Linked DNA regions of Rattus norvegicus. The protein of the gene in region 1 interacts with the protein of each later gene in a pairwise test. Links are inferred from orthologs where the notes say so. Each region holds a gene or a part of one and is shown on either strand. Other genes may lie near its edges.

The links.
Region 2: the proteins of Ttc23 (region 1) and Trim10 interact in binary tests that used the Homo sapiens proteins (3 or more experiments, as listed by UniProt). The two-hybrid records come from large-scale screens. The link is inferred for Rattus norvegicus from reciprocal best matches to the Homo sapiens genes TTC23 and TRIM10.
Region 3: the proteins of Ttc23 (region 1) and Golga2 interact in binary tests that used the Homo sapiens proteins (3 or more experiments, as listed by UniProt). The two-hybrid records come from large-scale screens. The link is inferred for Rattus norvegicus from reciprocal best matches to the Homo sapiens genes TTC23 and GOLGA2.
Region 4: the proteins of Ttc23 (region 1) and Maged1 interact in binary tests that used the Homo sapiens proteins (3 or more experiments, as listed by UniProt). The two-hybrid records come from large-scale screens. The link is inferred for Rattus norvegicus from reciprocal best matches to the Homo sapiens genes TTC23 and MAGED1.
Region 5: the proteins of Ttc23 (region 1) and Crebzf interact in binary tests that used the Homo sapiens proteins (3 or more experiments, as listed by UniProt). The two-hybrid records come from large-scale screens. The link is inferred for Rattus norvegicus from reciprocal best matches to the Homo sapiens genes TTC23 and CREBZF.
Region 6: the proteins of Ttc23 (region 1) and Htt interact in binary tests that used the Homo sapiens proteins (3 or more experiments, as listed by UniProt). The link is inferred for Rattus norvegicus from reciprocal best matches to the Homo sapiens genes TTC23 and HTT.
Region 7: the proteins of Ttc23 (region 1) and Lzts2 interact in binary tests that used the Homo sapiens proteins (3 or more experiments, as listed by UniProt). The two-hybrid records come from large-scale screens. The link is inferred for Rattus norvegicus from reciprocal best matches to the Homo sapiens genes TTC23 and LZTS2.

The regions. Positions count from the first base shown.
Region 1 is NC_086019.1:130,664,486-130,668,716, forward strand, and holds the start of Ttc23 (tetratricopeptide repeat protein 23), read left to right. Parts: upstream 1-1,431; 5' UTR 1,432-1,504; coding exon 1,505-1,556; intron 1,557-4,231. UniProt on the Homo sapiens protein: Participates positively in the ciliary Hedgehog (Hh) signaling.
Region 2 is NC_086038.1:1,700,670-1,704,969, reverse strand, and holds the start of Trim10 (tripartite motif-containing protein 10), read left to right. Parts: upstream 1-1,500; 5' UTR 1,501-1,857; coding exon 1,858-2,286; coding exon of another isoform or gene 2,287-2,307; intron 2,308-3,679; coding exon 3,680-3,775; intron 3,776-4,300. UniProt on the Homo sapiens protein: E3 ligase that plays an essential role in the differentiation and survival of terminal erythroid cells. May directly bind to PTEN and promote its ubiquitination, resulting in its proteasomal degradation and activation of hypertrophic signaling.
Region 3 is NC_086021.1:35,995,283-35,998,782, reverse strand, and holds part of Golga2 (golgin subfamily A member 2), read right to left. Parts: intron 3,100-3,500; coding exon 3,041-3,099; intron 2,771-3,040; coding exon 2,629-2,770; intron 2,111-2,628; coding exon 2,021-2,110; intron 1,913-2,020; coding exon 1,805-1,912; intron 1,661-1,804; coding exon 1,573-1,660; intron 1,238-1,572; coding exon 900-1,237; intron 657-899; coding exon 543-656; intron 94-542; coding exon 1-93. UniProt on the Homo sapiens protein: Peripheral membrane component of the cis-Golgi stack that acts as a membrane skeleton that maintains the structure of the Golgi apparatus, and as a vesicle thether that facilitates vesicle fusion to the Golgi membrane.
Region 4 is NC_086039.1:63,415,964-63,419,985, forward strand, and holds the end of Maged1 (melanoma-associated antigen D1), read right to left. Parts: coding exon 3,677-4,022; coding exon of another isoform or gene 3,646-3,676; intron 3,582-3,645; coding exon 3,518-3,581; intron 3,392-3,517; coding exon of another isoform or gene 3,365-3,391; coding exon 3,285-3,364; intron 3,136-3,284; coding exon 3,044-3,135; intron 2,828-3,043; coding exon 2,748-2,827; intron 2,657-2,747; coding exon 2,614-2,656; intron 2,469-2,613; coding exon 2,406-2,468; intron 2,100-2,405; coding exon 1,985-2,099; intron 1,301-1,984; coding exon 923-1,300; 3' UTR 915-922; intron 706-914; 3' UTR 501-705; downstream 1-500. UniProt on the Homo sapiens protein: Involved in the apoptotic response after nerve growth factor (NGF) binding in neuronal cells. Inhibits cell cycle progression, and facilitates NGFR-mediated apoptosis. May act as a regulator of the function of DLX family members.
Region 5 is NC_086019.1:153,828,482-153,832,561, forward strand, and holds the start of Crebzf (CREB/ATF bZIP transcription factor), read left to right. Parts: upstream 1-1,280; 5' UTR 1,281-1,798; coding exon 1,799-2,866; 3' UTR 2,867-3,073; coding exon of another isoform or gene 3,074-3,089; 3' UTR 3,090-4,080.
Region 6 is NC_086032.1:80,101,169-80,104,668, reverse strand, and holds part of Htt (huntingtin), read left to right. Parts: intron 1-991; coding exon 992-1,171; intron 1,172-1,275; coding exon 1,276-1,452; intron 1,453-1,665; coding exon 1,666-1,742; intron 1,743-3,115; coding exon 3,116-3,254; intron 3,255-3,500.
Region 7 is NC_086019.1:253,830,788-253,834,898, forward strand, and holds the start of Lzts2 (leucine zipper putative tumor suppressor 2), read left to right. Parts: upstream 1-1,311; 5' UTR 1,312-1,353; coding exon 1,354-1,761; intron 1,762-3,309; coding exon 3,310-3,972; intron 3,973-4,111. UniProt on the Homo sapiens protein: Negative regulator of katanin-mediated microtubule severing and release from the centrosome. Required for central spindle formation and the completion of cytokinesis.

The DNA.
Region 1 (4,231 bases):
TTTTAATATCTGTTGTCCCAGGATTCCCTAGGATTCTACTTACAGGATCATGCCATAATAAAAGTTTTCTTTCTTCCTTTTCGGCCCTTATGCTTTTATTCTTCTTGCCTACTTACTCTGATTGGAACACAAGCTTGAATACGGGTGTTGAGAGAGGACCTCCTCTTCTTGTTCCCTGTCACAAGAGGAAAGCATTCAAGACAGTCACTGTTAGCTTGTTGGGTCTGATGGCAGATGCTCGATTTCTAGGTACTTGGGAGACACAGGCTTGAGAACTGATAAGGCCAGACTGGGCTCCATAATAAGATGGATTGACGGCGGGGCAGAGAGACTGAGAGAGATTACTCAGTTGGTAACATGCTTTCTGTGTAAACACGAGCACCCCAGTTTGGATTCCCAGTACCCACAGGGAAGCTGGGCCATGGTAGTTCTTTGCATGATCAAGCTCATCAGTCAACTGGTCCAGCCAATCAAGTCTGAAGAGATCCTGTCTCAAAGATTAAGGTGGAGACACCAAATACGTGCACACACACATTTAAAAAAAAATAAAAGAAAAATTAGTAGAAAGAGGAAGAAACATCTTCCCTGCACCTATCAAGACGAGGTGGTTTTCTTCTCTGTGACTCTAGTGCATAACTCATATGTCAACCCAACTTCCCATTCTTTTAATAGACCTTTGAGGCTGCACTATATAGCCTTGTCTCTACGTCGCTATATCTGAGTTTAATATACACTTTCAGAAAGATAATGATTTGCCCTGTCTCGTGTGTCTGACTGGTTTCATGTGTTGCATTTCCGACGGCTCTCATCTGTGCTTTCTGCAGTTTGTAGAGCTGATTTTTCTTCCTTTTTTTTTTTTTTTTTTTTTTTTTATGTCTTGGTAGACTTCACCACTGGAGATGCTCTGGACCTGAAACCCAAGTTTGTAAATGATTTAAATTCTTAGTTCAGTTTCTGGAGTTATTGTGGATTTAATTACATTTTGCTGAGCCTCTGTCCTCCCTGTTTTTCTGTGTTATTTCCCAATGCCCTATCTTTATCTGGGCCAGGCTACTTAGCTAATATACTCTGACACCATCATAATAATTATTTCCTAAGAGCCATTGACCTGAGAGTGTCTACACTTTTCCCTTAGGCCTGCTACACCTTCCCATGAGTCAACCAAAAAAGCTACGAGCTGGAACCCTGGGGACTTTCAGGTCCCTGCTCTTGAATGGTTGCCCCCTAAGCAGGTGAATGGATCCTTTGATCTTCCAGCTATTAAATGTTTGAAACATCACCCCAGTCTTCCTTCCACTTGAGACCTCTTCTCACTATGATCCAAGGCCTATCATGTGTTTCTGCACTCTACTAGGCAGGTCTGGAAGAAGGAATAGCATCCATTGATTAGGTGAGTCTGACTGGCAGTTGTGAGTACAGACTGAGAGAGGCCTTTGAAGCTGCGAAGGGGAAGGTGGTGTATGGGGCCTTGGGCTGATTTCTAGTGAAATTCTGAGCCACAGCTATGGCTGTTACAAAGAAAAGAAAGGCAGCCGATGATAAGCGTGTAGCTCCAAGTAAGTGAACTGAAGCCGAGGTCTTTAAAGGAAAGGTGTTCCTATAGGGCGCAGTCGCGCGCTGAAAGTGTGAATCTAAAGCAAGGTCACTGATTCAAATCCTTTCAGAAGTCAGACAGGTAGTGTTGCACCCTTCAGAAACACACATCTCCTTTGGCAGTTAAGCATCTCCGAGATCAGAAGACCCGCCACTGCTATTGGCATGTGGCAAATGGGGTGTGAAGTAGCAGCGTCCTATAGCCAACCATGCCTTAGGTGAAACTTTGGCAATGGGTGGCCCGGGTCAGGAAAATCCCGTCCCTCTGCCTACTCCATCCGTCTCACTAGGGAAGAGAGACAAATACAGAAATCTACTCTTAGGAAGAAAAACTACCGCACCGGTGACTACACTGCTGTGCCCTGGTGCCAGTGGAGCCCGGAGAGCAGTCTCCGGAGAGGTCGCCAGCTCCCTGCTTGCTGGGAAGGCTGACCGTCCACCCTGCCTGACAATTGCCCTAAAGCTGATAGGTGTTCTGAGGTTTCAAAGGCAGAAACCCCAGGAATCTAGATCTTTATGTGAAACTCCAGTTTGCCTGCTTGTTTCCGTTAGCTTATGAAGTAACAGGTTTCCTCACAAACCCATGTTTGGTTGATCTCCCTCCCCCACCGGGTACCCTCTCACTTCCCCCCACCCCCCCACCCCCGTTTCTACTTTCGTATCACATAAGTTCTATTACCCTCCCCTCCTCTTTGCCTCAGAGATTCTTCCCCACTCCCCAGTTTTGCCCACTTCCTTCTAGATGTAGATATTTAACAGTTCAAAGCTGGGATCCTCAGTCAACGATCCTAGGTTACCCCAGTTAATATATTTTCCAGTTCTTTCCGTTTTCCCGAACGTCTCACTCATAGTTTCGGTTTTGTTAGTGGATGAATAAAATTCCAGCGTGTATGTGTACTAAATGTTGATTATCTGTTCCCCTTTTGATAACATGTAGGCCGATTCCCTTTACCGTCCTTGCCAATTTGAATAGAGTGATAGTAATCGTGGGTGTCCAACCACTTCTGGAGTAGAATGTAGGGCTTTTTGGATATAAGCCTGCCTAGGAGTTGTGTAGCTGGATCATAAGGTAGCTTTGATTTTAGTTGTTTGAGAGCCTTCTAATCTTAAAATAATGGCTCACTTTTGACAAAAAATATTTTAGTAAAAAGAAATCCATGTTAGGTACAACCTATGGATGCTCTGTATTGGATATGTGTGTGTGTTATGTATTTGGGATACAATATTAAGAGGCACTGTAGTGAGAATTTTTGTTTCTTGAAAAACACAGAAGAAGGACTGTGTGACTGTTCTCATCCCAGGTGTGGGACAGGGGCTGCTTCAGATTGTCCACAGCAGCTGACTATGATTCGCCTCATTCAGGAGCGTGATTTTGCCAGCTGCAGATAGTGTCTGTGATTGTGTGACTTAGAATTCTGGAGACTTCTGAGAGAGTGTATAAATCCTAGGGCCCCAAGGGGTGGGGTGTTACTTGGTCGACGTTGGTTAAATAGTCGTGCACAAAGAAGAAATAAGAAAAAAATAGGTATCCTGACGGTGAAGATCTAACTTGCCCCAAGGAACTCCATGCCTCTAATCAGCAGGAAAAAGTCTAATGATAAAGTCACCCCCTTTCCCTCTATTCTTTTTTCTCCCCTGTATAGTGTTAGGGAGTTGAAAGGTAGAGAAGGGGTTTGGAGAGATGGCTCAGAGGTCAAGAGCATTGACTGCTCTTCCAGAGGTCCTGAGTTCAATTCCCAGCAACCACATGGTGGTTCACAACCATCTGTAATAGGATTTGATGCCCTCTTCTAGTGTGTTAAAGACAATTACAGTGTACTCATATGCATAAATAAATAATTCTTAAAAAAGAAAAGGTGGACAAGGGCAGAAGGAACAAAGAACCCACAAAGTAGCCAAAGACAGCTACAAGGCAGCATGAAACAAACCGTTTTATTTTAATCCTAAAAACAAAAGTGAGAAACCTATTTCAAAGTTTAACCTTAGACTCACAGGCCCAAAAATAACAAATATTTTTGACATGTTAAATTATTTCAAACATTCTTTCTCTACCTCCCTTCCATTGCAAAGTGAAAAAATGTGTTTCAATCTGTTGAAGGTGTTGCCCCACCTGCTCACAAGAATTGATACTTATAACATGCCTTCTGTGGATTTCAAAGGAGAGTCTTTGCTTCCTACAGCTCTAGATTGTGGTCGGAGCAAGCCAGTATGATGCACAGTTTCAGCAAGTTGTTACTTGTTACCAGCTTTGGGGTCCTGGTTCTAGCCCTGTGGTATTATCCAAGTATTAGCTTCTCTAGCTTCATTCCCCTTAATAAAATGGAAGTAGAAGTAACAAGATAGGGATAGGATTGTCTGCCCCTGACACTCACAAAGTAGTCTAAGAGCCATGCGTGACAAAGATGGAGAACATAAAGCTTTTCTGAGCTCTTGGTTGTCAATGTTGCCCAAGTCATGTGGGCAGGCGGGGCAGCTCGAGTTCTTGAATCTCAGCCTCCCAGTGCTTAGACCATAATACCTGTTAAAACAGACTCTCTTTAACCATCACGGGTTGGATGGACGAGGAAGTGTAAGGCAAGAAGATGCCTTTTAAACGCCAGCCAACAGCCTGGGATACAGCACAGTACTGAGTCGGTAT
Region 2 (4,300 bases), on another chromosome or scaffold:
CTTAAACATACTACTAATATTTATTTTCTCTCTTTTTATCTTTTAATATTTTTCTCACCCTTATTATGAGAAACGTTCAAATTTATTGATACTGTGAAGAAATGTTGGCATGAATGCCTTTGTGAGTTTTTGACTTTTGTTGACTATTGGGCCATCTGCTCTCTCTTCCATAAATCCGACAACATATATCTCCTCAGAATGAGAAATTCCTCCATACAACCACAGTGTCATTAAAAAGTTTAGCATGGGCCAGTGTGATACCTCATCACAACGGCAACTGCTGCCAAAGACCTGAGTTCTATCCCCCGGACCTACATAATTGAAGGGGAGAATCTACTCTACAAAGTTGTCCTTTGATTTCTACATCTTTGCCAGGATACCAGCACCCACACATACACATACGCATGCACCCACCCATATGCATACACACATATACACACATACATATATATGCACACATGCACACACATACACATGCACACATGTATACACACATATACACACATATGCATACATACATATACATGCATGCACACACATACACATGCATACACACATGCACACATACACAAGGACACACATACACATGCACACATACATACACATGCACACATACACAAGCACACACATATATACACATATGCATACACACATTACACACATACACAAGGACACACATACACATGCATATACACATGCACACATACACACGATAATAATAATAACTATATAATTTGAGGAAGAACTTTAGCAACCTATTAGTGAGTTCACTGTCAATATTCAAATGTCCCTTTACAATTCTGTTCCACCGGGGTCCAGCTCATATTGGCAACTAGAAATGTCTATATTGCATATATGCCTTTGTGGCTTTCACTGACTCCTTTTTCCTCAAGGCACATTTCACATAGCTCAGGCTGGCCTCCAAGCTGCTATGAAAGTGGAAGCTGGTCTTGAACTCCTGATTCTCCCATCTCCAGATAACAAGTGCTGAGATCACAGGCATGTGCCACCGTGTCTGGTTGTGCTATGGGTTTCTGGTAGACTTCATCTCCTGGAAGACCATAGCTTTGACTTCCCGATAGATCCCAGTCTCCTGTGCTCTGTTGGTTCCCCTTGGATGAGGTGAGGGAACCTGGAGGTCCAAACAGCAGGATGAGATAGCGCTGAGGTGAAATAAATAAGCTGTTTAAAGTGCTTCCTTCTATCAGTGGGAGATGTGTAGTCATGATAATAAAAAAAACAAACAAACAAATGCTGGCTCTATTTTTCCTTCCCCATGCATGTTTTTTTCTTCAGTAACCTCTCATAGGCCCATAGAGGCATCGCCACAGTTGCTTGTGCCGTGCACACCCGAGCTCAGGAGCCTTATCTGAGTCCCCACACTCCCGTGCCCACTGGACTTGTGCTGGCTGATACCTCCAATCTCCCTGGAGACAGGTGGCTATGTTGAAGAGCTGGGGTGGCAGCAGTCCTCTGTGAGTCAGGCTCCTCCCCGACCCCAAAGGAAAGATCTCTTTCAACAGTGGACTGCAGAGAGAATACACACTTATTTTTATGTTTTTTTTCCTGTGAGCAGCTTCGGGTAGACAGAAAGAGACAGTGAGACCCAGGCCATAGGAACTGGTCCGGAGAGTGAACTTATGATGCTGTGAGCTCCTGGGCCCTCCTCCTCTGCTATTTCTACATCTCCGCTGTTGGCAGGAGTGTGTCTGCTCCCAGGAGAGTCGAACAAGGGGTTCTGGTGCCAGAGATGTAACTGGGCCCCTTGTCCGAGTGTGTGTGACTGTACTAGTGTTCAGGACTGACGTGGATGAGAGATGGTGACTTCCAGGAGTCAGAAGGCCCAGTAGGGTTGACATGGCCTCAGCTCCTTCCGTGACTAGCCTGGCAGATGAGGTCAACTGCCCCATCTGCCAAGGCACCCTAAGGGAACCAGTCACCATTGACTGTGGCCACAATTTCTGTCGTGGCTGCCTCACTCGCTTCTGTGAGACCCCAGGCCCAGAATCGGAAGAGTCCCTCAGCTGCCCGCTCTGCAAAGAGCCCTTCCGTCCAGGGAGCTTCCGGCCAAACTGGCAGCTGGCCAATGTGGTGGAGAATATCGAGCGCCTTCAGCTGGCATCCACAAGAGGCCTGGAGGTGGAGGATGCCTGTCCGGAACACGGGGAGAAAATCTACTTCTTCTGCGAGGAGGATGAGGCACAGTTGTGTGTGGTATGCCGCGAGACTGGACAGCATGGGGCTCACACTGTGCGCTTCCTGGAGGACGCAGCAGGTCCCTACAGGGTAGGAGAGGATCCCTGCAGGGTAGGAAAGGGCTGTGGGGGACCCTCGGGGGAGCTGGATTGGACTAAGGGAAGTAGAAAGGTGGGAAAGGTGGTGTGGATTCTGGGCTGGATGGGGTATCCTGACTCCAAATTCTTTCGCCTTATTTAATCTCCCAGACATGTACTCTAGCACAAAGAAGCACAGGGTTCTAATTAAGAGCTCTACGTTGTTTCCTTGTGGGCCATAGTAAATCCTTTCCAAACGAATGAGCCATCAGATGTGTGTGTGTGTGTGTGTGTGTGTGTGTGTGTGTGTGTGCGTGCGTGCGCGCGCGCGCGCGCGCGCCTGTGTCCTGTATCAGTTAAGTGTGCTTGAAGTTTGTATCTTAGGGACTGACGATGCTTGTATATTTACAAGAGCGAACAGCTCGTTTGTGGAGGGGTGGTCTGAGCATGTTCTATTTGAAGCATGTCACGGAATGTTCCTGTTGCAAATGAGCTAGTTGGGTGACTGTTGGTGGCATATACATTCATTCTTCATTTAATTACCCATTAACCATTGCAGGTTTTAGTTGCTTTTCTGCCGTATTCTTTCATAAGTAGGCGCTTATATGTATGATGTGGCAATGTGTTCTTTTGATATAGTAAGACCAACTTGCCTCAGACTAATATATATATATATATATATATATATACCTCCTGGACGCTGGGGTTATAGGCGTGTGCTGCCACACTCACAGGGTTAGGGGTTGAACTCGGGGCTTCTTACTTGCCAAGCAAGCACCCTAATAACTGAGCTGTACCTCAGTTTCTAAACACACACTTGTGTGTTTGCTTGTTCCTAACTCTAGAACAATTTATAAAACCGTGGATCAATTATTTTTGCATCTAAGTCCCTTCTTGTATCATTTCTAGATTATCATTCTAATAAAAAGGGAGGCGCTGTTTGCATTTTTTCCCCTCTGGGTGAGAGAATTTCATTTTCACTCAGGAACACGTGGAGCTCAGACCGTAGGTGATGCAGAAGAAAGTAGTAATTTAACCTGAAAAAAGGGGGCTCAAAGAGGGAGGCAAAGTCCTGACCTTTGATGATACATGAGAATGGGGGAAACCCTGGTCACCATCTCTGGGGAACGAAGCAGGAGTCATAAGACTCGAGGCCAGCTCTGGTGGTACTTAGTCCTTGATCCTAATGTTTGGAAAACGGAGGCAGGGGGATGCTGAGTTTGAGTTAAGTCTGGGCTACATGAGATCCAGCCTCAAAATCAGAATGAGAACGAAGACCCTGAGTATCTCCAGGTGCTGGGTTCACACTCATCTCCAGGGCATTTTGCTCCCACCGGTTGAAGGGAGTGACCTTCCTTTACAGTTACTTTCCCCTCATCTTAGTATTTCATGCTCCTTCTACCCAGGAACAAATACAGAAGTGTCTCGTGTGTCTAAGGAAAGAGAGAGAGGAGATTCAGGAAACCCAATCAAGAGAAAACAAAAGAATACAAGTGCTCCTGGTACGTCTCCACCCTCCCCAGGCCCGGCTCCTTCCTCCAGAGTCTGAGGCCCACAGAGCAGAGACTTGAAGGTGCTTTGAGTCTGGATCCTGACTCTGGCATTGTTTCCTCCATCAATTCGCTAGCTTTGGCTTTACTCACTTATGAGATGGAGATTACGGATCATTTCCTTCTCCAATCACTGCAGGAATTAACGTGATCCTACCTCTAACAGCCAGCCTAGTGGTGTGTGCGCAGTGTGCAGGGCAAGAAGAGGCCAGGCGTCTCTGGGGTCTTCTCTAAGCCCCTTTTAGAAGCCACGGTGACAATGATAAGGAGACGATGCTGGGCTGTGTGGCTCCCGGAAATGGAGTGACAAGCAAGAAGAACACAGTTCCACATCCTTATAGGGACGGGGAGAAGGCGGGAGTAGGGGGTTCTGATTTTACTACCTAACCATGGGAGGGGTGTGTGTGTGTAGATCAAGAGGGAAATGGGAATCTATAAGGAAAGGGAAGAAAGTGGGGATGAGATGCCACAGGAAGA
Region 3 (3,500 bases), on another chromosome or scaffold:
CTGTTGGTAGGCGGCAGCGTACTGCTGCAGGTGGGACAGGCACTGGTCTCGCTGCTCCTGCAGACCCTGTGCTTCTTGGCTCTTCAGCTCCACCTGCAGGAAGGCTAGGGCTGAGGGCAGGCAGTGCTGGCTGCCACGGCCTGAGCGCCTGCCTTTGTACCCAGCCTCACATAGTCACCTTTCTCACTCCTTTAGGCCCCAAGAGTGGAAAAGCAGATGGAACTAACCCATTCTGTTCTGCACAAACCTACTAGTACCCGTTATTTTATGCACATTTTCTCATTAAACCTTTAACACCTCTATGAGAAAACTCATCTTTTAACTTCAGTGACTAGGTTTGGAGATGGGAAGCACTTGAACACATGGGTGTGAATCCAGCCTGAACCCAGAGCCCTGCATAAAAGGACAACGACTATAAAAGGGCAGCTCCTGGATAGAGAGCAGTCCAGGGATACCTGTTCCAGGCTGTGGCTAATCTGTGATGGGCCTTGCACCCACCCTCCCCAGGTCTGGTGGCCAACACCACATGTAGTAGGCCTTACCGTCTCCTTCAGCTCTCCCAGCCTCTCCTGAAGCTCTCCCAGCTTCCTGGCCAGCTCTTTCTTGACATGCTGCTCTGATTGTAACGCACTGGTAATCTCCATGTTCTCATTTGTCTGGACAGAAAGCAACAGTCAGTAGGACCTAATGTGGCTGGAGTCCCCAGAATTGCATGTGTACTCCCTCTCAGAGTAGGGAAGGCTGCTGGATCATTCCCACACACCCTAGGGCTCGGGATTGTGGGGTGCCTTCACCACTACCACCTAACGTGAGGCGGACAGCACCCCATCCTCTGCCGGTGCTGACCAAAAGGGGTGAGTGTGTTCCCTGTAAGCAAGGAGGGCCTGCAGGCTCCGCACCAGCCTGACGAAGCCGTTCTGCAGCTCAGCCAGCTGCTCCTTGAGCTCGCGATTCTGTGACAGCGCTCTGCTGATGGTGGTGCGGTCACTCTGCATGCTCTCCAGGATCTGCTTGCGCTCCTCTGCCTGCTCGCTCCAGTGCTGGGCCTCGCGCTCCAGCTCCAGCAGCCGTCCCTCCTGCTCCCGGTTCAGGTGGCTCAGGCTCTCATTGTCCTGCACCTGGGCCCGCAGCTGACCCGTCAGACCCTCCAGTTCCTTCTGCAGCTGCTCAACCTCTCCCTGCAGCCGCTCTTCGGCCTCTGAAGGCCCAGTTGGAGGCTCTGGAGGTGGTGGCTCCTCTGAGAAAGGAAGCAGGCACTGTGAGTCAGGCTCCCTGCCCTAAGCCTTGGCTTCTTTTCTGTCAGGGTCTCAGATGAGGCAAGTGTTTCAAGCCACTCTAGCACAGATCTGGGATGCTCAGTCACCTGCTGAGGTGTAGTAGTAGGCATGCCACCCTGTTTTGCACAGAAAGGCACATGCTCAGAGAGATGACAAGGCTTGTCACCTCGTCCTGGCAGAGACCCTTTGCCCCCATTACAATGCCCTTACACCCACCTGCCCCCCTGGGCAATGGAAGCCACCTTCATGGCTCCTCGACCCACTCCTGCTCTCAGGTCACCCTTGCCCTACTCACCCATCTGACTCCTGAGTTCAGCCAAGCTGGCCTCCAGCTCTTGTACCTGACTTTCTCTCTGCTCCTTCTCTTCCTTCAGTGCGTGCACCTGCCCAAGGCACAGGGTGGGGGTGCTGGAGATCCCAGGCCCACCCATCCCCAGTCCCACCTCTGCAAAACTGAAGCCCCTAAGCCCTCAGCTCCACGACACTGATGCCCAGGAAGAGCGAAGACTCCAGAGGCCAGGCCTCACCTGCTCTGCCATCTGCTGTACCCTCTGCTGCCACATGGCACTCTCTCCTTTCAGGTTCTCTGCGTACTGGTCTCTCTCCACCTGGAGCTGTTTCAGTGACTCCATCAGCTGCATCAGTCAATATACGAGTTATGAAGGGCTGTCACAGGTCCTCACCAAGGGCCATTGCGGGGGGAGGGGGGATCATGCCCTTCCCCTCCCCCCACAGATCCTCACCTGGCCAACATGGCTCTCCAGCTGAGCCCGCTCCTCCATGGCCTGTTGCAACTGCTCATTACTGCCAGAAGCCTCAGATTGGCTAGAGAACTGCATGAGGGAAAGGAGGGCTTAGATCTGGGAGCCTATGCTGTTCTGCTGAAGTGCTCCCCACAAGAGTGTGAGCTAGGATGACAACCCAGGGTCATTGCCATAGGAGAAAGTGTCAGGAAAAGCTAAGCAGACTCCTGTTGGGCCATTTAAATGAAACAGAACGCTGGCATTTCAGCAGGCCTAGTGGCTCATGCCTACAACCTCCCACTTGGAAGGCTACGGTAGGAGGATTACCATGAGTTCAAGGCTTACCTGGTAAGTTACAGGTCACCCTGGGCTACTGATAAGACTGTCTCAACAATAATATAAATAAATAAAGTAAGGATCCAACAGCCACATCACCCTCACTAAGACTCTGATTCACAGGTGTGGCGGGGGCTCCACTGAGCAATTAGTAAACAGCATCAGCACAGGACAGGAGGAGGTTCCAAACTGTCCATACTTGGCCGCAGGTCACCCCCAAGGAGCCACAGACTTTGTGCCTGGGCCTTAGGGGTGAGGGCTGCACTTCTCACCTGTTGCAGCAGCAGCTCTGACATCTCTAACTTCTTCTGCAGCTCCTCTGCCCCCAACTGTGCAGCTGCTTTCTCTGCCACCAGGACTCGAAGTTTCTCTTCCAGTTCTGAGTTCTGCTGCCTCAGGTCCTCATTACTTTTGCTGGGGCCAGTGGCAAGGTGGAAAGGAAGGAATCAAGAACAGAAAGGAGCCCATTTCAGAGTGATGTGTGAGTCCTGCCACAGCACCACAGGACAGAGCACTGAGTCACAAGCGACAGGCCTCAGAGACTGAGTTACCTGGGACCACACCATGAGTCAGGAGCATGGCTGGGACCAGAGCTCAGCTCTACACAAACCCAAGCCTGTCTGGGCTGAGTCTCCACTCTCCACACTGAGGCTGCAGAGAGCCCAGCCGCCTTCCCATTCTTACCCATTCTTGTATAGCTCCAGCTTGAGGGCGTCTCGCTCTTTGGTTAGGTCCTTGTTGTACTGCAGACAGAGAAAGCAGAGTTTGGACATGAAAGGCTGAAGCAGCCGCTGGCACAACACCAACGGCCTGGTGATATTCTCCAGTGACAATTCCTCTTCCTAATCACACTTGGCATTTTCCCAAGGCATTTCTACATTTCTGTCTCCTTTGTGATTCTGTCCGTTTGTTTTGTTTTTAAGATGGGGTGACACTATGTTATCTAAGATGGCTTCAACCTCCTGGGCTGAGAGGGCTCAGCCTCTCCAGTAGCTGGGACCAGAGGTCACAGTCTTCAGGGTTGCTTTGTTCTACTTATTTATACGGAGTGGTGTTCTGTCTACATATGTCTGTGCTCCACAAGCGTGAGTTACAGACAGTTGTGAAGCACCACGTGGCTACTGGGAATCGAACACTCTTCTGA
Region 4 (4,022 bases), on another chromosome or scaffold:
TCCCCTTAGTCCTGAGTCTCTCACCTCCCAGGTCTCTGGTACATTCTAGAGGGTCCCCCCTCCTCCTTCCTCCCGAGGTTGCCTGTTTCCATTCTTTCTGCTGGGCCTCAGGGCTTCACTCCTGTTCCCCCCCCACACACACACACACTACGGGATCATGTTCTCCCCTTCCCCTCCCCGGCCCCCGTCGCCCCCAGGTCCCTCTTACATGTGTTTGTTTTGACCATCCACCTGCCTTCACCATTCCTTTTCTTATACGGCATAGCCACCACATTCATTCCATATGTGGGATTTAATGAATGAACCTCTACACCAGTCCTTAGATTTCATTGATATTGTGTTCATTCATCCCTCCTTTGGTTTCCAAACCATTAGTTGGATCTACCCACATTTCCATCTTTTGAAAGCTGATCTGCCCTTCAGGTTAGAGCCAATAAAATGTTGAACTCTCTCCCTCTCCCTCTGGGTATTCATACAAAAAACATGAGGAGCACATTTAATTCACTTTGCAATTTCAACATTTATTTCTGATACCAAAACTTGACAACACACAAGGAAAAAAAAGTAATAGACAGAATAGCAAATAAATTTATCTTGCATGCCACTCTCAGTCAACAGGATGTGGCTCTCTAGATAGCTGTGTTTTGAAGGAATCTGAGGCTTCAGCCTCACTCAGGGAAAACTATTGCAAATGATGAGCAGTATCTGTGAACATAAGAAATGGGGGAAATAATTCAATTAGCTGTATAAGTAATAAGACCACAAACACCAAAGAGTACTCATACTCAGTACTTCCCTTTTCTCCACCATGGGCTGTACATTACTAGCTTAAGACTGTGAATACAATTCCCCCACTGAGCATATATCGATCCCCCGCAGAACCCTACCTGCTTAATTGAAAGTGATTTACTTACCTGACACTTTACTCAACCCAGAAGAAGCCAATGGCACCGAAGTTGGCGGCGAAGTTGGCGGTGGCAGTGCCGCTGGGGCCAATGATGGGGCCGGTAAAGGCCTGGGGAAACCTGGAGCGGGCATTCTGGTGGTATCTGGCCCAGAAGGTAAAGGGGATCCTGGACCAAGGATCTCCAAAATCTCCTTCCTCATCCCAGGTCAGCAGCTCAAACTCAATGTCATCCCAGCTCCAGGGCCCAGACACAGCCTCGTCTCCAATCCCCATGCGGTTTCTTGCTTCGGCCCGGGCCTCTGCCTCAGCTGCAGCAGCATCCAGAGCATCCAAGGCTTCATCTGCAGCTTCCATGAACTGTGCAGTCCAGTCACGAGGGTCTCTCTTCTGAACCTGCAATGAGAAATAAAAAACTAAACCAAACCTTATACAGTAGCCAAGATACATAATCAGTAAGAATGCAAAAAGAAAATACTGTATTATACACAATGGAATACTATCCAGCCTTTAAAAATGAAAATCCCAGTATTCATGACCATACGGGTGAAGCTGAAGGACGTTATAGTAAGCAAGACAATACAGAGACAAGTACTGTTTTTATTGACAAGTGGACAATCTAAAACTAGACTCACGGGCATAGACTAGAATGGTGGTTGCCAGGGTTAGCTTACGTGGGATGAAGAATAGGGACATATTCATCAAAGTGTATGAACTTGAGTTCGGTGTAATGATTAAGCTCTGTATCTATTATGCAGCAGAATGTCTATAAGGTAATGACTACTGTATATCTGTAAACTGCTTTTTCTTGTGTGTTACTATGTGTGTGCACATACATGTGCAAGTATGTGGAAGGACAGAAGGCAACCTTGTTTGTTGTTCCTCAGGTACTATCCTCCTTATTATCTGAGACAGTGTTTCTTAACAAGCAGGCTCCAGTGTGAGCCCATGAGCCCCTGTGAGCCCCTATTTCCACCTCCCAGCACTGGACTGCAAACACGCACCATCCCCTCCCTCCCAGCTTTTTACGCAGGTTCTGGGGACTGAACCCGATTAAGCTACCATGGATTCCGCTATTACCTCTGCAATGAATCTCAGCACTTTCATCTTGCTAGTCTCATGGTAGGAGCGGAGGCCCCAGAGGAACTCATACTCAGGAGGGTTGCTGTTGGGCACTCGTCTGTAGTCCAGGTATCTGAAGAGGAAAAAGTCTGTGTTTATGGGCAGTCTGCAACAAAATACATGCTAAATAATACTGTGCTAAAGTTGCTGCTTCAGGTTTTTATCATCTTGGACTACTACTCTTTCCTGAGAATGTGTACTATGAGAAAAGAGGACAGGCTTTACTAATAACTATGCTGTAAAAACATTCCACCTCAAAGCGTGTCTTCAGTAAACACTTCTGGATAATTCTGTGAACCTACAGGAGTGCTGTAAGTCACGTTTAAAGAACCTTTTCTGATGCAGACCAAGCAGAGCCAGAATTCTAAGGACCACTTACTTCTGCTTTACAAACTCGTAAGTAAGAAGTTTCCTCAGATCGCCAAGGAGGGGATGTCTGACCCTGATGGTGAAAAAGAAAACGACAATCAGAGATTCTGCCTGAAGAAAACTAGAGAGTTACAGACTGTCTTCCTATCTAATCTCATCATAATTTAAGACATCCCCTGCTGCTAAAGGATACTTCAGATGAAGGAGCCCAGTCGTACCCAGGACGTAGTCCCATCTTGCGCAGTGCTTCCCAGAGGACGGCTGCAATAGGAGGCAAGAAGAGAGAAGGCATGGAAAGTGAGCATGGAAATCAGACTGCAGCCAACCCCCAGCTCCAAGTCCAGTCACTCACCCTCAGTGGCACGGTTGCCATTCATGAAGATAATGCCCAGAATCACTAAGAGGAGGCCTAGCTTCGGTGTGTCTTTGGTCCTAGAGGAGTACAAAAAGAATACAGATATATACACACCCAGCAGCTGTTTACACGAAAAACCCCACAAGCTTACCAATTTAGCTTCTCCAGTATTCCTCAGTGGAGATCATTATGCCCCCACTCTGCCCATGACCTCCTATGTGACTGAATACTGAAACTCTTAGGCAAAAAGCATCACCAAGGAAGGCCATAACACATCCCCTTTCCCATCTTACGTTCCCAGTATGCCAGCCAGGGATTCAGGGGTACTGATGAGGATATACAGATGCTCTTCTTTGTCGATTTCCTTGAGCTGGATTCCAAATTTCTACAGAAGCAAGCAAATGACAGCACTTAGCATAACGTGCCAATAGGCAGGCAGTCACAGCGCTGTGAACCTTGTCCTCAACTCCAGTAGTTATCTCACACAATGGAGAATTTGACCGTCATTCTAGTTTCCCAGGTGTGGCTCTTTACCTTCTCCAGGACAAAGCATGCGCGTTCAATGATTTCTGGATAAACATCAGTGTATTCTCGGATGATATCTCTCAGCATTTCTGTAGGAGAGAAGGGAAGCACCAGGACTGAGCTGGAGCACAGTAGCAGCCCCTTGGCCAGGCCTGGTAAGGACAGCCCGGTCAGGCTCCTCAGAGGTAGAATCAGCTATGGGAGGGAGTGGACAGGACATCAGGGTCAGGAGAAGGGCCTACCTGAGCGCTTGATGGGCACCTTCGTGTAGTCTTTAAGCATCAAGTACTTGACCAGCTTATTTGCCTGGGGGGAAATAATTCAAATTAGGTTTGCAGAACACTTGGTTGATTACAAATGGAAGGACCACAGTAAACAAAGTGGAGAGGTATAGCACTTACTCTTTCCTGAAGAAGGGCCACATCTCGGGGCTGTGGAGGACCCTGGTTCTGTGAGGCACGAGAGTTGGGGGAGGATCTCAGATTAGGTGAGGGTCGTAAGTTCTGCCAGTCGGGTGGAATTGGCCAGTCGGCAGGGATCCAGTCAGGTGGAAAAGGCCAGTCAGAGGGAAAGGACCAGTCAGGAGGCATTGACCAGTCAGGTGGTAACTGCCAATCTGGAGGGCCTTGCCAATCTTGAGGGCTCTGCCAACTAGGTGGAGCCTGCCAACTGGGTGGGCTCTGCCATCCAGGTGTACTCTGCCAGGCCATTGGGTTTGGCCAGACAATTGGGCCAGGCCAGACAATG
Region 5 (4,080 bases), about 23 Mb from region 1:
ATGACTTTCTTTTCTTCTGTAGCTTTTATGAAACTATTTCCAAGTTGGAATTTGTCATTCAGAGCATCCTGAATCATATGTTTCTGGGCCAAGGTCTATCTAGCACAAAAATAAACCCTTTCCTCTGTTGTCTTCTGGGAACAGGTGTTTTGTCTTGACATCACTTTCCCCGTGCGAACAGGTGGAGTGTGCTGTAAGGAATCAGGAAGCAGACAGCTGCCTGATGGGTGGCACATAGGGGAAGGGGCCACAGATAAATAATAAAGATCACCCCCTCGGGCTTCTTCCTCACCACTCTTACCTGTGACAAAGCCATGTAATTCCTTTTCTCTTGCCTAGTTGAAGCTGGTCCTGAAAATGTTTACTTGAAGATGTGGCTGGGCGTGTAGGTTCCTCTTTCTTTGCTTAAGTTCATCCATTCAAAATGGGAGGAGGAGGAGGGGGACAGATCCCAGTCCACCAAGAACACTAAACTCCCCAATCTCTGTGTGTGTGTTTCATTTTTAATAGCTGATTATGTTCGAGTTTTTCCTGCTTTTAGTTCTTTAATTAGCAGAGGCCAGCCTAAGACCCCATAGAAGCTACATCCATCCCCTGGACCCCTGCGCTAGCACTGGGGGGTGTGTGTGTCCCCACAAGCTCGAACGCATACTGACAGGAATCCTAATTCACATTGAACTTAATTAAAGCATGCTTTCATGCAATTTTATTCAGCAACTAACCTCCCTTCTCTCTCTAGTTCATCTGTACTTTCATTAGCTTTTTTTTGGAAAACAGGAGCTAAGGTGTGGTGTTTCGTTAAATTGTAGAGCATTTGTAAACGTTTCAGCTCTTAAATGCTGGATGAAACCAGAGAAACAGCACGAGCAATCCAGAACCACGGGTCCAGAATTTTATTAAAAATGAATTAAATTTTATTAAAAATGAAGTAGTGTTTTCTTCAAGACTTGGTCTTTTCAAAAAGTTGGTATTTTAAAAGGATAAGGATAAGGAACTGTTGTGGCTTGACAAAAGAAGAAAAAAAGCAGAAGAAAAACAGCAAAACAAGAGACCAATAAACAAACCAACCACTCCTGGCAAATCAGCTAATACTGCAGTGACCCTTGTTACAAAAACAAATAAATAAATGATAAAATAAAATTGGTCCGATGACAACAATAATAGCAGTAACAATGATCATTTTCTGAGACTAAGGACCTCTGAATGTCGCCCAGGGTTTAGTCCCTGACTGTGTTTCTCAGATTTGAAGATTAGCCTTTTGTTTTAGCAGGGACTATTTCCATAGTTGTTTTTCTTGCAGTCTAGAGAGAAACAGCAAAAAATAAAACTGCTCATAAAATAGCTTTTTATATAGGTGTGTCAAATATGTCTAGACTTCAAGTATTGGGTTGCGGAGATTGGTACTGGGTAGCACCGCTGCATGTGGGGGATAGAAACCTAGGTTTTATTGTTTTTGCCGCGGCTCCTATGACATCACCGCAGAGCAGGAGTTACTGCACCTCGAAAGCGCTCGGAATCTCGCGACACTCTGGCTGGAGAGAAGCGCGTTTTTGTGGGCGGGGTGGGGAGAGAGTAACTTCCGGCCAGGCCGCTGTTTGGGTGGCGCGGCCGACTCCTCTCGGGCCTCGCCGCTTCGCGCTTCCACTGCCTTCCCCCCCGCCTCGTGCGGGGGGTTGGGCGGCCGCGGGAGGCCACTCAGACCTTCCCGGCGCCTGTGGTCGGCCCGGCGCTGTGGCTCTGCGCGCGGGGGCCCGGGGTCTCAGGGGCTGCGGCCTACCCGGGCCCGCCGCTCAGCCTCATGAGGCACAGCCTGACCAAGCTGCTGGCAGCCTCGGGCCGCGACTTCCCGAGCCGCCGCGACAGCCAGGAGCCGCCCGCCACGCGCGCGCCTCCCCCGGACCCGACTGGGGCAGCCGCGGGGACGGAGACGTCAAGGCCCGGATCCCCTGACCGCGAGCAACCTCACGGGGACGGGGGCGAGCCGGAGGCCCGGAGGGGGAGTCGCGGCAGCGTGGCCGTGCGCGCGCCCGCGCCCTCGCCACTGAAGATGGAGGAGGAGGAGGAGGACGCGATCGCTATGGTCCCCAAAGAAGAGCAGGAGGACATGGACTTTCTCTCCGGGCTGGAGCTGGCCGATCTGCTGGACCCTCGGCAACCGGACTGGCACCTGGAGCCCGGGCTCAGCTCGCCCGGGCCCCTGTCCTCGTCCGGCGGAGGCTCGGATAGTGGTGGCCTATTGAGGGGGGACGACGACGACGAGACCGCGGCCGCAGAGATGCAGCGCTTTTCTGACTTGCTGCAGAGGCTGTTAAATGGCATCGGAGGCTGCAGCAGCGGCAGCGACCGCGGCGGCGGGGAAAAGAGGCGGAGAAAGTCTCCGGGAGGAGGCGGTGGCACCAACGACAACAACCAAGCGACGACTAAGAGTCCTCGGAAGGCGGCGGCGGCCGCTGCCCGACTTAATCGGCTCAAGAAGAAGGAGTATGTGATGGGGCTGGAGAGTCGAGTCCGGGGACTGGCAGCCGAGAACCAGGAGCTGCGGGCCGAGAATCGGGAGCTGGGCAAACGGGTGCAAGCACTGCAGGAGGAGAGTCGCTACCTACGGGCTGTCCTAGCCAACGAGACCGGACTGGCTCGCCTGCTGAGCCGGCTGAGCGGCGTGGGACTGCGGCTGACCACTTCACTCTTCAGAGACTCGCCCGCCGGTGACCATGACTACGCCCTGCCGGTTGGGAAGCAGCCTCAGGAGCTGCTGGAAGAGGACGACGCGGCGGGAGGAGTGTGTCTCCATGTGGACAAGGATAAGGTGTCGGTGGAGTTCTGCTCGGCGTGCGCTCGGAAGGCGTCGTCTTCTCTTAAAATGTAGGGTCAAGTAATCTGCTCTTTATCCGCGTTTACCCCTTTCTACACCCTTACACCATGTAAAACACCTTAGTGGGACATCTTCACCGGACGCATTTGAGAGGCGGAAAAAAAGTAATATTAAGTCTTTTAAGTGTTTAGCTAAAAGCATGAATGTGACACTGTAACCAACTCCTAATGATAACCTGTGACTATTAAATCTCTCTGACAGTTTCTTTTTTAGGTGATTTCCTTCCTGCCAGGCTCCGTTGTAGGGGTTACAGAACAGTCGTTCCCGCCTCACAACCTGGTAAGGATCCATCTCTTCACGTAACGCTCATGCTCTGCTGCTTAGCCTAATTTAATGGGCAAACATCTCAATGTGTGTGTGTGATACCTTTTTTGTTTGTTTCTTTTTTCTTTTTAAAGGTGGGAGGGCAGTCTTAATTTGGGCCTTGTCCACCCTGGAAACAGACTTGTGCTGGTCATTAATGTACTTAAGTTGCTAATGGTTGAAATAGCTGTTAAATGTGTCCCCTTGTTCAGAGTTTTGCGTGTACCTAGCTCTTCTGTCCCCAGTGTGGACATGGCCTTGGATGACATCGGTTCCAACTGTACACTGAAACCTGCTAATAGAGATACAGTTTGGAGACAGTGAAACAGGTGAAGTTGAATGGAAGTTCCGAGTTGTACAAGGTGCAAATTGGAATTCCAATTGTAGAGCAACTTTTCAAAGGTTGACAATAAGTATTGAGGCATGCGCAAATGTGGTATTTTTCTGGAGATGACAAATCTCCTAAAATACTTAAGAATGCCTTCTAGTTTTCAGTAGAAAATGCAGAAATACAATCTATTTAAAGATCCTAATATTTCACCACTTGAGAAGATGGAAATTAATTTACCCATCAGATTTGTGTTTTAATTAGAAGACGATAAATGAAATGTTTCTTTGAGGACCAGCACAGTATACCTATCAATGAGTATGAAGAAATTGTTGAAAGTATTTATTTTTGTTGTATTAAAATTTAGGCTAAATTTCTGTACGATTATTAGATATTGAAGGTTGTGAAATGTGAATGAAAACATGTAAAGTGAGGCTTCACAAAGAATCTTCTCCCTATTTCTAAAACTTTTGTCCTACTTAAAAATACTTTTTAAAACTAATTATATGATTGATACTGTTTTTCCAAAGATGGAAACATCTTTCTTCTATTGTCCACATGTCTAAATGTGTGTTCT
Region 6 (3,500 bases), on another chromosome or scaffold:
TACTTGACACTCCCAATATTGAAGTCATTTTTATATTTTGTTCCATTTTTGAGAAATGTGGTATAGTGGTGTTTTTTACAAAGAAAGAATAATTTTATAATTTAATACTATCCAAATAGTTGCAAGTGAAAAATATTAGCATTAACCAGATGTCAAAGATTCGATCAGGCTTTGGCTTCTGTCTAGGATTATGAACTAATCCTACAAATGGAAAGGTTGCATATTTTGTTTGTTTGTTTGGTCAATTTTTATTTTTTTCAAGATAGCGTTTCTCTTTATAGCCTTGGCTGTCTTGGAATTCACTCTGTAGACCAGGCTAACCTCATACCCTGAAACTTGTAGAGGTCTGCCTGCCTCTGCCTCCCAGGGGCTGGGACTAAGATGTGCATCACCACCTCCCAGCAGGTTACCTGTATTTTTAACTATGGTTGTTATTTATTTTTCTTATTAACAAACAAAAAAACCTTAAGTGACATTTTCCCATGTATTGGGCAGCTGTGTTTTTTGATTCAGGAACTCTATCAAATCTGTGGCATTTATTGTCTGTTTTAGCCACTGAGCATTACAGACAGAGTAAGTAAAGCAGCCCATGCTAGGCTGGCCTGCAATCTGGTGGCAAGTTCTATTCCAACATGGGGCTTCCTTTGTTTCCATGCATGCAAACTCCAGGCCAGTCACTAGGGAGGGCTACACCAGACTGCTCACCTTGCTCCTGTGGGCAGCTACCTCTTGGCGTGTCCAAGGAGCCAATTCTCTGATATTGAGGCATTTGCTAGTGTCTCTGGGAGCTGACATTGCCCTCAGTTCTTGGCTTCCTGTGGCCTCTACCACATGTGATCGAGGTGTGAGGCTCTATAAGTTTCCTTCCTTTCTCTCATTTACTTGTACTCAGACACTTGTCTTCACCAAGGCAAAATTTGTATTTGGAGTGTGTTTTTCTTTGGAGCCTTCTTGTCTACTTGAAATGTATCTTTTATTATATCTTTTCTAGTGTCAGAATCTCCATGACTCAGAACACTTAACATGGCTCATTGTGAATCACATTCAAGATCTGATCAGCTTGTCCCACGAGCCTCCAGTTCAAGACTTTATTAGTGCCATTCATCGTAATTCTGCAGCTAGTGGTCTTTTTATCCAGGCAATTCAGTCTCGCTGTGAAAATCTTTCAACTGTAAGTCTTTAGCCTGCCAGTTTGCTTTGTCCAACTTACTGGGATTTTGTCAGTACCAGTTACAAGTCTGAGGAATAATAAATTTTGTTCCTTCTCAACATTAGCCAACCACTCTGAAGAAAACACTTCAGTGCTTGGAAGGCATCCATCTCAGCCAGTCTGGTGCTGTGCTCACACTGTATGTGGACAGGCTACTGGGCACCCCTTTCCGTGCGCTGGCTCGCATGGTCGACACCCTGGCCTGTCGCCGAGTAGAAATGCTTTTGGCTGCAAATTTACAGGTACTGAGAAATGGTGATTTATATCAAAACTTAGAAAGTCAGTCAAAACATTTGGTCTGCTGACCTGGTCTTGATTAGCCACTGACAAGAGCATGTGTGCAATGTTTGTTATTTGTGTGTCTGACCAATGTCTCTTACTAGGACACTGTGCGTAGCACTTTATCCTATTTAAGTGCATATCACAAAAGCCCTGATGTATTCTTGTCTGTGTAGAGCAGCATGGCCCAGTTGCCAGAGGAGGAACTGAACAGAATCCAGGAACACCTCCAGAACACTGGGCTTGCACAAAGGTAAGACTGTAGCATGGGGTACAGGCATTTGGGTATTAACACATAGATATGTACAGGAACAAAGAGGCAGGCAAAGGAGTTAGTGTAGAGTGAGTTTACTGCAGCAGTGCCACAGTAGAGCTGGCTGTCTAACTGTCACATGAAAGTCTCACTGTAGTAGACATGAAGAAGTAGCAATCAAACACCTGTTGCACACACGAGGTGCTCCTGAACTTTCTGACTGTTGAAGGGATAAGAAATGTGTTTGTTGCCTCTGCTCCTGGACCCTTTAGGAATGGGAATAAACATAGAACCTAATTGCTAGGTTAGAAGGAATAAATATGAGAGCTCTACTTGGCTCTTGGCATGTACACATGGTATTTGTGTATTGTTAAGTGACCTCTCTTCATAGCAATTCTTTTGCCTATTTGTTTGAAAGTCTTTTAGAAACCTTTATTAGAAACATTTCAATCTGAAGTATAAGTGTAGTTCCTTAGTCAAGATAAACTAAGAAAAACTTTTACCTCTTTTCCGCCATTGTTAATAGGATAGGGAGCATATGTGCATAAAAGAGGGTGGTTCTCTCATAACTTTAATCTTAGAGTTTTTATGAGGGTGTTTCATAATGGGACAGGGCATAGTCTAGATAATTTTTTTCAGTCTGCAAAGCCACACAATGTTGTCATTTGACATACATAGTATCACATTGGTTTTGGATAGTAAGAGAATAAATTGTCATTATGTTTGATAATAGATGTAATCAGAGGCCTAGATGAGGAAGGTTATGACATCATAAATTATATTGATATAATTATTAATCATTATATAATGATATAATCATGATTATGATTATCATAAATATCTTTGGGCCAGATGAAATGATTTTTCTGTGAAGTGACCCTTCCTAATGAAATGAATTGTGTCATTATGGAGCATTAAATGGAGTTTGTGCGCTTGGATCGTAGAAGAATCTATCTGTTTTGTATATATTACAAATATGATGGCTAGGAATGTGTAATTCAGTGATAGAGCACTTGTCTAGCATGCACAAGTCCCTGGGTTCCATCTCTAATACTGCCAAGAAAACAAAGAGTAGAATAGAATAGCTTTATTAGCTGTTATATATTGTATTGCCTCATGGAATGTTGGGCATAAATGAAACTTCTGCAAAATATCAGTGAGGTATAAATTGTGGTAATTAAAAGTAAGTAGGGTCTAAGTGTGTGTCGTGACTTTAGGATGTTGAAGGGAAAGGTCAAGCATGTGCACCTTGTTAAGAAGCTGCTTCTGCTTGTTGGTATTACATGTTTCTAGAACTCACCTGTGTACAAATTGAGTTTCAGACTAAAGAATAAACTCTGGTTTATTTTACTCTGGTTTTGTTTGTATTTCAGACACCAAAGGCTCTATTCACTGCTGGACAGATTCCGACTCTCTACTGTGCAGGACTCACTTAGCCCCTTGCCCCCAGTCACTTCCCACCCTCTGGATGGGGATGGGCACACATCCCTGGAAACAGTGAATCCGGACAAAGTAAGTGTCCAGTATATCTAAGTATGATGGCCAGAGACCATGTGCAGACAATGGCAACCTCTGTCTCTAGTCAGGATGATAATGGTGACTGTCAGCACACATGGGCCCCTGACATGCAGCTCACTCAGGTCATCAACTGCCCTGCTTGGGATTAGAGTGCAGTATGGAGGCCATGAGGGCCTACTGAGAAAAGGAGTGCTAATGTGGACTTCTGTGGAGGTGTATGGGGTCGAGTCAGGCGCCTAG
Region 7 (4,111 bases), about 120 Mb from region 1:
TCCAGGGCAGCCAGGGCTACATGGAGAAACCCTGTCTTGGAAAAGCAAACAAACAAAACAAAAGAATTCACATGTACAGCTGAGCATAGGAGCACAAGGTTAGAATCCCAGCTGTCTGAGGCAAGAGGATCCCTGAGTTTGAGGCCCACTTGTGGTGCATGGCACAACCCTGTTTGTTTTTGTCATGTCCCCCTACATCTCGTGTGTGTGTGTGTGTGTGTGTGTGTGTGTGTGTGTGTGTGCACGAACTATCTGCCTAAACTCATACTGCATATTTTCATGTACGTTTTCACAGATTCTCTTCATTTTTATGGTCCTGTCTATGTACTCACACCACAAGTGTACACATACACACTCTCTCATGGAGGCCTCTGTCCACTTCTTGGCCCCTGAGCTACATGATGACTTCAGCAGATGCCTAAGTCTTGGTCATCGGCAGCCTTGGGACTGGGAGGGAGTTCCGGGTGCAGGCTTGCTATCCTTCCCAGGAAGGAGCAAGACTGAGGATGGGGGGTGGGGGTGGAGCCATCTTCCTTGAGATCCTACCAGATGTGGTAATGGGCTCCTGCTCAAATTCCATAGGAGTTATTCCGAAGATCAACTAAAGCAGGAAGGTTTATAAAGGTTGACAGTGGGACAGGGCCTGTGTAGGCTACCTTAGTCCCAAGTGATGGCAGAAGCTAAGAGTTGACATAGAAACAAGCACAGCCTATATCGACCTCTGGGAAGTAGGAGACCCCAGAGGGCATCTGTGGGTTCCTAAGACCTGTGAGGTTTCCTGTTTGGCCAGCTCCACCCTCAACGCCGCCTGAGTGTCTGGGAGAAACTGAGGCCTAGCAGTGGGAGGCTGGACAGTGCCTGGCTTTGGTTCTTTGTTCCCTAATTACCATCTGAGTTACTGATTGTATCCCTGACTTGTCCTCTGCCCAAATAGCCCAGGAATGAGGCCACCTGTCCCAAGAGAGTAGGGACATGTACTGGGAGCTAGTAGTTAGGGATCTCTGCCCAATCTGAGACTTCGCTATATAGGGGATACAGGTTTGGGCTTAACTGGGTCTCCTCTGTCAAGGAACCCTGCATAACCTCTTAGTTCTCCCATTCTTTCATCTCTGTTTGGTTGAGTTGTTCCTTATCCTTGTTCCAGACTAGAGTTGAGGCCCAGAGGGACTTGAGGTTCATTGCCAGTTCTTGGGAGGTGAAGCTGTTTCACTATATGGGGAATGTTCTATCTGGAAGAGGGGGTCAGGAGAAGGCTAATAGGGGGAGGATCCTCAAGGTGCAGGGACTCTGACGCCAATGCCTTGCTCGCAGGTTGCCCTGGAGGCCCCTGGCCAGGCCTGAACCTCTGCCACCATGGCCATTGTGCACACTCTGCCAGTGCCACTGGAGCCCGCACGTGAGACAGCCACTGCCCCACAAACTCCAGCAATGGGCAGCGTGAGCAGTCTTATCTCAGGCCGGCCCTGTCCTGGGGGACCTGCTCCTCAACGCCACCATGGTGTCCCTGGGCCTACCTTCTTCCGCCAGCAGGATGGGCTGCTCCGGGGTGGCTATGAGGCCCAGGAACCACTCTGCCCAGCTGTGCCACCCAGGAAGACTGTCCCAGGCAACAGCTTTACCTATGTCAATGAGGACTTCCGGACAGAGTCACCTCCCAGCCCAAGCAGTGATGTCGAAGATCCCCGAGAACATCAGGCACACAATGCCCACCTCCGTGGGCCCCCACCAAAGCTCATCCCTGTCTCTGGAAGGCTGGAGAAGGTAACGGGCAGCCCTCTTGGGAGGATCTGGGTGGGGTCGAGCTCCCCGCTGGGGAAGCTAGAATTTGGAGGCATGGACTCTGTCTTATCTCTCTTTCTGGCTCAGGGAGATAACCTGTCTGAGCCCCATTTTCTGTGTCTTTACAGTTAAGGTTAGAGGATAATCTTTATAGGCTCCTGTTAGAATTAATACTCCCAAATGAACAATATAGTAGTTCGTGTTTCTCTCTCTCTCTCTCTCTCTCTCTCTCTCTCTCTCTCTCTCTCTCTCTCTTTTGGTGTTTGAGACAGGGTTTTTCTCTGTAGCTTGACTGTCTTGGAACTCACTATGTAGACCAGGCTGGCCTTGAACTCACAGAGATCTGCTTGCTTCTGCCTCCCAAGTACTGGGATTAAAGGCATTTGTTACCACTTCCAGCCAAGTTGCTTTAGTTATTATAGAGGTGTGTGGTGTGGTATGGTGTGGTGTTGTGTGTGTGTGTGTGTGTGTGTGTGTGTGTGTGTGTGTGTGCGTGCGCGTGCGTGTGTGTGTTTGGGCGAAGCCTTTGTTTACCTTTATTCTGGGACTGACTCTATCCTGTTTTTAGTAGGAGAGGAGGATAATGTTTTGCTTGCGTGGCTATTATCATGATTAAAAATAAGCATTTTGAATTACTTAACATAAGTAGACGTTTAGAAACGGTGCCGCCGGGGTTGGGGATTTAGCTCAGTGGTAGAGCACTTGCCTAGCAAGCACAAGGCCCTGGGTTTGGTCCCCAGCTCCAAAAAGAAAGAGAGAGAGAGAGAGAGAGAGAGAAAGAAAGAAAGAAAGAAACGGTGGGAACCATTGTTTTTCATTTATAGGGGTGAGAACCCTGTATGGGAAAGCCAAGTAGTATGATGATTTTGTAAGATCAAGGTGGGCCAGAGAGATGGCTCAGAGGTTAAGAGCACTGACTGCTCTTCCAGAGGTCCTGAGTTCAAATCCTAGCAACCACATGGTAGCTCACAACCATCTGTAATGGGATCCGATGCCCTCTTCTGGTGTGTCTGAAGACAGTGACAGTGTACTCATACACGTTCCTAAGTTCAGATCCAGTACCCATATAAAAAGGTGGCCGTTGTGGCAAAGGACTGGAATCTCAGCACTTGTCAGGCAGAGACAGGCAGATCCCTGGGGCTTGCTAGCCAGTCAAGACTAGCTGGATTGATGAAATCCAGGTCCAGAGATTGTGTAAAAACTTAGGTGGGAAGTGATTGAGGAAAGCTCCTAACTTTGACACTTTGACATTTGATCTTCACACATAGGCACCACGTATCCATACTCATACATATGCACCCCCCTCTGTGTGTGTGTGTGTGTGTGTGTGTGTGTTTTGAAAGATCAAGTAAGCAAAGTGGGCTTGGTATCACACACCTGTAATCTTGAAGGGCTTGTGTTCAAGGGGATACATAGTGAGTGGACCCAGGCCAATAGAGTAAAACCCTGTCTCACAACAATACTAAATTTTTTAAAAAGAAAGGGGTCGGGCAGATCATCCTCACAGTGTCACATGCTACCTCATTTCAGAATATGGAGAAGATCCTGATCCGACCAACAGCCTTCAAGCCAGTGCTACCCAAACCTCGAGGGGCGCCATCCCTACCTGGCTTCCTTGGTCCTCGAGCTGCTGGGCTATCTGGGAGCCAGGGCAGCCTGACACAGCTGTTTGGGGGGCCAGCCTCTTCCTCCTCCTCTTCCTCTTCCTCCTCTGCTACTGACAAACCCTTGGCACTCAGCGGTTGGGCCAGTGGCTGCCCTTCAGGAACACTGTCAGACTCTGGCCGAAATTCTTTATCAAGCTTGCCCACCTACAGCACCGGAGGTGCCGAGCCAACTGCCAACTCCCCAGGTGGGCACCTGCCCTCCCACGGCCCTGGCCGAGGGCCACTGCCTGGTCCAGCCCGAGGGGTCCCTACTGGGCCCTCCCATTCAGACAGTGGCCGGTCCTCCTCCAGCAAAAGCACAGGTTCCTTGGGGGCTCGTGTAGCTGGGGGGCTCTTGGGCAGTGGGGCCCGGGCCTCCCCTGGCAGCAGTTCGGGTGGAGACCGCTCCCCACCCCCTCCACCACCTCCACCCCCTTCGGATGAGGCCTTGCTACACTGTGTCCTGGAAGGGAAGCTTCGAGACCGAGAGGCAGAGCTGCAGCAGCTGCGGGACAGTGTGGATGAGAGTGAGGCCGCCGTGTGTCAGGTGCGGCCAGTGGCAGTCCTGGGGCGGTGTGGCTGAATACCCAGGGCCTAGGGACAATTCCTGTTGGGGAGGAAGAGGGTAAAGACTCATGATGTGACACCCCCAAGGCTATGAGCATAACCTTCAAAGCAGTGAGGAG